Anolis sagrei: one gene and its partner. The protein of the gene in region 1 interacts with the protein of each later gene in a pairwise test. Links are inferred from orthologs where the notes say so. Each region holds a gene or a part of one and is shown in the gene's direction. Other genes may lie near its edges.

Region 1 (4,275 bases):
ACAATTCCTAACAGCCTTGGGGCCCTTTCCCCCCTCAGCTGCCGGAGGGCCCAAGTTTGCCTATGCCTTTTCTCACTTGTTCCTTGGAAAAACCTCACTTTTATAATGATGACAAGATTCAAAGAATTGTTGAAGGCTTTCATGGCTGGAATCACTGGGTTGTTATGTTTTCCAGGCTGTATGGCCATGTTCCAGAAATATTCTCTCCTGACGTTTCACCTGCATGTATCTCAGGCATCCTCAGAGGTTGTGAGGTCTGTTGGAAACTAGGAAAATGGGATCTATATATTTGTGGAATGTCCAGGGTGGGAGAAAGAACTGTTGCCTGTTTGAGGTAGTGAATGTGAATGTTTCAATTGGTCACCTTGATTAGCATTTAATGGCCTAGCAGTTTCAAGGTTTGGCTTCCTACTGCTTGGGGGAATCTTTTGTTGGGAGGTGATTAGTTGACCCAGATTTTCTTGTCTGGAATTCCCCTGTGTTTGAGTATTGTTCTTTATTTACTGTTATGATTTTAGAGTTTTTAAATACCAGATTTTGTTCATTTTCATGGTTTCCTCCTTTCTGTTGAAATTGCCCACATGCTTGTGGATTTCCATTGCTTCTCTGTGTAGTCTGACATGGTGGTTGTTAGAGTGGCCCAGAATTCTCTGTTCTCAAATAATATGCTGTGTCCAGGTTGGTTCATCAGGTGCTCTGCTATGGCTGACTTCTCTAGTTGAAGTAGTCTGCAGTGCCTTTCATGTTCCTTGATTCCTGTTTGGGCAATGCTGCGTTTGGTGGTCCCTATGTAGACATTCCACAGATATATAAACATTCCACACACATATAAAAACTCGATTTTCCTAGTGTCCAGCAGACCTCTGAGAATGCCTGCCATAGATGCAGGCAAAATGTCAGGAGAGAATGCTTCTGGAACATGACCATACATACATACAACCCAAGAGTCAAAGAATTTGACAGAGGACAGAAAGTCTTAGGATGAATGTTTTCTTCCCAGACCGGTCTTATCTGCTTCAAAAGCCTGTGAGAAAGTAAGGAGTAAGATGGCCATTTTTAATTGGGTCAACATTTGTTGACAAATACATGCTAGCAGGCTTTTTCGAGGCTGTTCAGGCTGTTCTTCAGAGCTCGGTCTTTCAGCTGTGTGGCAGTCAGTGGAAGATTTCCTGCCGACAGCAGCTGCTCAGGGAGTAGTTCATTGAGTGCTAGGGAATGATCTGGCTCTGCTTTGTGTTTGGAGCACGAAAGGGTCTGTAATGTGATGCTTGGACTTTTAAAGCAGGGGGGACTGAGGTGGGCAAGAGTAGAGAAGACTATGGGGCTCCTGCTTAGTTTGTTTTGTATGCCAGCCAGAGAGTAGGAGGAAGAAAATCCCCAGGGCTTTCCTTTGGCCCACATCCAAGAGGTTTTGCGCACTCTTCTGTGCCAGGTGCAGGAAAGAAGCAAATCTTTACAGATAGCTGCCTTCTAGCCTGGATCCTAAGTTTGGTGGCTCATGTGCCTGGACTTGGAGTGTCTCTCTCTGGGTTATGTCTTGAAGCGGGCGAGGAAACCAATGAGAACGTGATGTGCACCGCACATGTGGGAACACGCACACACAAACCCAGTGGTTAGCAGGGAAGAAATGTGAAGCGACAGCCGCTCCTCCCCGCCTGGCCTGTGATTAGCTGGGGAGGAATGTTTGGCTGTGACGTGGGCCAATTCCTCCAGCCTTTCTCTGGTTTTGGAGGAGAGTTGGTAATGTTAGCAAAGAGGGCAAGCAGCAGGAGTCAACTTTCAATCACAAGTGGTTTGACTCTTGCAAGATGTGGTGGCCAGCCTCCTCTGCCATTTTCCTGCACCGAGAAGCTTCTCCAGGGGTTTCTCTTCTGGTCCAGAAGTCTGGCAGCTGTTGACTGAGGTTGCATTTTTGGTATGTATCTCTTTCTTCTCTTCCCCTCCCTCTCTGCATGCCAAAATGTACTGTATACAGGATGCAAGGCAGAGTTGTTGGTGTTGCCGTTCAATATTCTTTGGCACAATTTGAGATGCAGTGCTGCCTAAAGCCGTCCCTCCCTCTCCTGATCATCCTACAACAAATTTCAGGGGAGAGAAAACAAGCAAACAAACTCTGGCTGTGCTTGTGTTTGAAATTTGGATCTCAGAGCTGGCTTTTTGGGCGGGGAACACCATTTTGAAGCAGCTGAATGTCTAAGTGCAAATAAAATAGGGGGGTAAAGTGAAGCATTGCTAAATTTGAACAGGAAAGTGAACAAGAAAGAACTGTTTTAATGGCTAATGTGGAGGTTGAAGCGTCAAAGTACTGACTGTTATTAACAAAGTATGGCTCTCTGTATTCAGTTCTTAGACCATATTGAGTACATCGTCTTCTTTTTGCTTTTGGATAAGGAATTAGCAGCAGCTCTGGAGTTTATTAGTTTGCTATGGGAACTTCTGTCATTACGTACCTGCAATCCTGATTTATTGTGTAAAGCATATGCCAAACACCCTATTGTATAATTTTAGTTTTTAAACTTTAGTATTTTTGGTATTTCAGGAGAAAGGTGGTATCCGGGGAATTTACTTCACTTTCAAAACTTGAGGCAGGTAAGTTGTGTGAGGAAGAAGTTTATAGGGCTTTTGAGGGAAAGATATGAGTTGTAAACTGAATGGAGGTCTGTTGTTGAAGGCTTTCATGGCTGGAACCATTGGGTTGCTATGAGGTGCCTTGGGGGTGCTGTTCTTTGTTTAACTTTAGATAGCTCTCTGTTCACATGCAATGCAAACTAGTTGACTTTAAGAGTAGGTCTGATAGGTATCAGGCACTTTCTGATTAGATCAAAGCCTAGCAGATTTGTTTGAAATAGAGCATGACTTCACTTGTAGGTGGAGGGCACCCTTTTCCTCCCCCCACATCTTTCCTTTCTCATTATTTTGTTATTTTGATTTTTTTCTTTGCTCTTCTCAAATTTGTATTTGTCACTGGACTGATAGTCTATGGTTATTCTGGAGAATGTAAAACTAATCAAACAAAGTAATCATATACATTTAAATGACAACAGTCCAGGATGGTACTCACCAACACACTTCTTGGCAATGTTGTGTTGAACTGTGTCTCTTGTGGATTGAATAAAGTCTTTTTCCTCACTATGTAAGGTAATTAGCTCAACTGTGCAAGGACATTATGCATTATCATCCAACTTTAATATGTTTTATACCACTGTTTTATATTATCTGCTTGTAATTGTTTATTTATTTATGTATTTACTTTATTTATACCCTGCCCTCTCTCACCCCGAAGGAGACTCAGAGCGGCTTACAGATTGGCAACAATTCAGTGCCATATAAACAAACATATAAGAACAATAAGGCTATATATTTAAACTATAAAAGTTAAGAAAAAAATCTATGCATTAAAATGAATTATTAACACCACACAAATCCAAAGTCATAGTCCAGGATCCATTTCAATCATGTTGAAATTATTTCGTATCCTCTTATTGCACTGAGTTACTATCCGAAGGCTTGGTCCCATAGCCAAGTTTTTGATTTCTTTCTATAGGTCAGGAGGGAGGGAGCTGATCTAATTTTGTTGGGGAGGGAGTTCCATAATTGATGGGCCACCACTGAGAAGGCCCTGTCTCTCATCCCCACCAATCATGTCTGTGAAGTAGGTAGGACCAGAAGGGCCTCCCCAGAAGATCTTAACCTCCATGGTAGTTCATAGAGCAGTGGTTCTCAACCATCCTAATGCCAGGAACCCTTCATACAGTTCCCCATGTTGTGGTGACCCCTAACATTATTTTCGTTTCTACTTCATAACCGTAATTTTGCTACTGTTATGTATCATAATGTAAATATCTGATATGCAGGATATATTTTCATTCATTGGATCAAATTTGGCACAAATACCTTATATGCCCAAATTTGAATACTTGTGGGATTGGTGGGGGTTGAATTTGTCATTTGGGAGTTATAATTGCTAGGATTTATCGTCAACATACAATCTGAATTCCGCCAATGATGGAACTGTACAAAATTTGGCACACACAACTCCCATGACCAAGAGAAAATACTGGAAAGTTTTGGTGGGCATTGACCTTGAGTTTTGGAGTTGTAGTTCACCTACATCTAGAGAACACTGTGGGTCCAAACAATGATGGATCTGGACCAAACTTGGCACAAATCCTCAATATGCCCAAATATGAACAGTGGTGGAGTTTGGAGAAAATAAACCTTGACATTTTGGAGTTGTAGTTGCTGGGATTTATAGTTCACCTACAATCAAAGAGC
Region 2 (4,275 bases), on another chromosome or scaffold:
CTGAACGCAGCAGCATTGACGCAGACTGAGGCCATTCTTCAAGTACAACAAGTGGTGGAGGGGCTTTTAGTGATGGCTCTAAATAAAACATTTAAATATCAGGGCTTTGCGGGCCATTTCTGTGTAATAAACATGCATTTGTGTTCATCCTGTGTCAATTTTAAACTGCTGTGATCCACATATTAAGACAAGTTTGCTTGCCAACACTTGTACAATCCTTGAATGCTATGAATCTCCACTACTATTACTTGTTGCTACTTTTGGAAGCACATGCTTCCTGGCCACAGCTTAGAGGGCATCATCTATGATGGTGAGAAAGTGTTCAACATCCAAAGTGGCATTGCAAGAATATCTTTCCCACAATCGTTGCAGTGTTACAGTATCTATCAGGTTTTTTATCAGGTTGTGTAGGCATAGTTGCATACTGGTGTAGTGGTAATGCTAGATATGGCACACTATGAAATATTTGCAAGCCATCATGTCATCTAAACTCAGGTTGCCATATTCCAGCACTTCAAATTGGGGCCATCCATTTGAATGCAATGTAAAATTCTGCTAATTATGTACCTCTCAGCAAATCTAGCTCACAAAATTGTTGTGGAGATTATTTGTTGGAGAAGAACCATGTGAAGTATATTCACAGGGGCAGCTCAACCCATTACGCAAAGTAAGCATTTGCAGTATAGTTGATTTTGCCCAGGGGCGCTCTTGAGATGCTCTTGGGGGAAAATAGACCTTGACATATGCGAGTTGTAGTTACTGGGATTTATAGTTCACCTACAATCAAAGAGCATTCTGAACTCCACCAATGATGGAATTCAACCAAATATGGCACACAGAACTCTCACGACGAACAGAAAATATATATCAATGATTGGTTGGGGGGCGGGGGTGGTGCCAAAATACAGTTTGCTTACTGTTGAAAATTACCTAGGGCTGCCTCTGTATATTCATAATGTGAAAAATACCAACCATGTTTTGTCATGGACAGACACTTGTAATGGACTGTATTGTCCATTATTTTTGTATTTTTGTTTTTCCCTTCAGTTTTCTTACTGATGCCCAAAAGTCATGGATGCATGAACATATCAGAAGACTTCACAACTTCAGAGGATGCCTGCCATAGATGCAGGTGAAACGTCAGGAGAGAATGCTTCCAGAACATGGCCTTACATTCCGAAAAACCCTCAACAACCCAGTTATTCTGGCCATGAAATCCTTCGACAATACATATCAGAATAAGTTCCTAAATGTGGGTCATGCTGCCCCACAGGCCATCTCTTGCATCTTGCGATCACTTGCTGCACCTTCTGCCTTCCCTTCTGCCATCTCCATCATCTTCTCTTCTTTGCAACCACAACTCAAAGTCTCTTTTTTCCCTTTCCACTTCATCTGGGCAGGAGATGGATTGGGCCCATGTCACTGCTGTTGTGCCCTCCAGAGGATCAGATGAGCTCTGTATGAATTTCTGGTCAATGCAGGCACTACCTGCTTGCATCAGCAAAGGTGCCTGCATAACCAGAAAGAAGGACAGGGATGAAGGACAGCAACATGAATGGTAAGGTGATGGTCCAGCAGGGCTGATGCAATCTCTGGACTCGGACCAGACTGGTTCTGCTACAGACTGGTTCTGGATTAACTGGCCAGTGTAGATGAGGCTTGAACAGCATTTCTTTATTCACATTTTCTAAAGAAACCAACCATCAACTAAAATGTATTTAATTAGCAGTTAGCCCTAATAGTCTTGGGAAGACAACTAGACTGTTCCATTTCCTGTTCCAGCTGTTAACTCTCTTCTAAGATCAGATGTGCAAACAGATGTGTCTGGGATGGCGTAAGATTCTATCCTGACAGAGAATGCCATATATGCAACATATAATGTTAATGAGCTTAAACAATTATTTTACAGTTTTATAAGCGATGGAATGCCTGCTATATCCTTTTTAATACCCCAGACACTTGTAAATGTGGAACTCTCGTGGTGTCCAAAGCATGACGAAGACCCTCTTTAAAATAAATGATAGCAAAATAATTCATTTTAACACTTCCCTTCCACCTTGCTTTGACTGTGTTTGTTTTTCCTGCCTGTTCCCCGGTGTCTAAGTACTCAGTTGCTTCATAATTTTATGAGTACATATCCAAGCATAACATCTCTTTATCCAACAGAAATCAGAGCCTCAGATCAAAAATTATTCAGTGTTTATACTCTTCTCAAGTAAAAACAAGAAATCAGCCTCAGCCTTTCCTAATATAAATACAAAGAATGAAATATTTTGATCATTAAAGGAGAAAGAGGGAGAAATAAATGTAACATTTACTCTGATTTTAGACACAGGTGGGTTAAAACACCAAGTGGATCCCACTGGATTAATATGGATTGTGACTAAATCCCCTTGCATTAGAAGGACATAAAGAGAATCCAGCAAAGTACATTTATGCAATTTTTAAAAAATTCTCCTGAGTTTTTCAATGCTTTAATTTTTTTTAAAGTTTGTATTTGTCTTCTTTTATACAGATACAGTAGATAGCTAGATAACAATGCTATAACACTATGGTAGTTTTATCATTAATTTCTAGATTTCCAATAAAATTTTCCTACTTCAGTTTTATTTTATAGGTTTCGTTTAAAAAAAATTAAAAAGTTTGCATGCTGTTTTTAAGCTTGGAAGTAATTTATTTATCATATTTTTTTATTTGTCATATTAGAAGCGAACTGAGGGTACAGTTGTGATAATTTTAAAAAACACAAAGTTTAAAAAACTTAGCATTATACTACATTTCTTTTGACCAGTAGCCGGCTATTTTGAGTGCTTCTGGTGTTGCTATAAGAAGGTCCTCCATTGTGCATGTGGCAGGGCTTAGACTGAATTGTAGTAGGTGGTCTGTGGTTTGCTCTTCTCCACACTCGCATGTCGTGGACTCCACTTTATGGAGTAGTTTTTTAATTTATGTGCTTAGTTGTGTTTGCTCATTACTTTTTCCTATTACTTTCTCATTACTTGGGGCTTTTCACCATTTTAATGCTTTTAGACAGATTTTCCTTAAAAATATCAATGGTAAATAATAAGCATTGTATCAACTAGAATGATAAACTGCCAAGAGATCAAGATTAGCAGTAGTAAACTCTTTGTTGTTGTTGTTACCTGTCTTCAAGTTGACTTTGACTTATGGCAACCCTATGAATGAAAGACTTCTCTTATCTTCAATAGATCTGCTTAGATTTCCTTGACTAGGAATGGATCTACACTGCCATATAATGCAGTTTCAGAATGCAGATTAACTACATTGAAACTGATTATATGGCAGTATAGACTCATACAATCCACTTCAATGCAATTAATCTGCATTCTGAAACCACATTATATGGAAGTGTAAATCCAGCTTTAGTCAAACCTTCTGGAATATATGGTCTCCTCTTTTCCTACTTCTATCTAAAAAGGTAAAGTTTTTTCCCTGACATTAAGTCCAGTCGTATCTGACTCTGGGGTGCAGTGCTCATCTCCATTTCTAAGCTGAAGAGTCAGCATTGTCCGTAGACATCTCCAAGATCATGTGGCCGGCATGACTGCATGGAGCGCCATTACCTTCCTGCTGGAGCGATACTTCTATCTACCTTACCATTATTGTTTTTTTTTTTAAAAAAAATAGAGTAATGTATTTTCATTACAACAGCTTCCGTTAAGTCATCTTGACTTCTAGGGAGGTTTCAGGCTTGATTTGCTCTAGGATCCATTTATTTGTATTTCTAGGTGCAAATATTACTTCAGACGCAGACTGCAGCCAGGAAATCAGAAGACGTTTACTTCTTGGGAGGAGAGGAATGAACAATCTTGATAAAATAGTGAACAGACACCACACTGGCAACGAAGATTTGCATAGTTAAAACAATGGTATTCTTGGTAGTAACCTATGAATGTGCAAGCTGGACCATAAGGAAGGCTAAGCAAAGGAAGATAGATGTTTTTGAACTGTGGTATTGGAGGAAAATTCTGAGAGTGCCTTGGACCGCGAGAAGATCAAACCAGTCCATACTCCAGGAAATAATGCCTGGCTGCTCACTTGAGGGAAGGATATTAGAGGCAAAGTACTTTGGCCACATAATGAGAAGACAGGAAAGTTTGGATAAGATGCTAGGGGAAAATGAAATGACTGGCTTGACCTTGAAGGAGCTGGAAGTGTCCATGGCCAACAGGGAGCTTTGATGTGGGCTGGTCCATGAGGTCATGAAGAGTCAGAAGCAACTGAACGAATAAACAACAAACCAATTATTAGTCT

The links.
Region 2: the proteins of LZTS2 (region 1) and TNIP3 interact in binary tests that used the Homo sapiens proteins (3 or more experiments, as listed by UniProt). The two-hybrid records come from large-scale screens. The link is inferred for Anolis sagrei from reciprocal best matches to the Homo sapiens genes LZTS2 and TNIP3.

What each region holds. Positions count from the first base shown.
Region 1 is NC_090023.1:215,471,269-215,475,543, forward strand, and holds the start of LZTS2 (leucine zipper putative tumor suppressor 2), read left to right. Parts: upstream 1-1,479; 5' UTR 1,480-1,915; intron 1,916-2,539; 5' UTR 2,540-2,589; intron 2,590-4,275. UniProt on the Homo sapiens protein: Negative regulator of katanin-mediated microtubule severing and release from the centrosome. Required for central spindle formation and the completion of cytokinesis.
Region 2 is NC_090025.1:36,194,123-36,198,397, reverse strand, and holds the start of TNIP3 (TNFAIP3-interacting protein 3), read left to right. Parts: upstream 1-1,536; coding exon 1,537-1,563; intron 1,564-4,275. UniProt on the Homo sapiens protein: Binds to zinc finger protein TNFAIP3 and inhibits NF-kappa-B activation induced by tumor necrosis factor, Toll-like receptor 4 (TLR4), interleukin-1 and 12-O-tetradecanoylphorbol-13-acetate.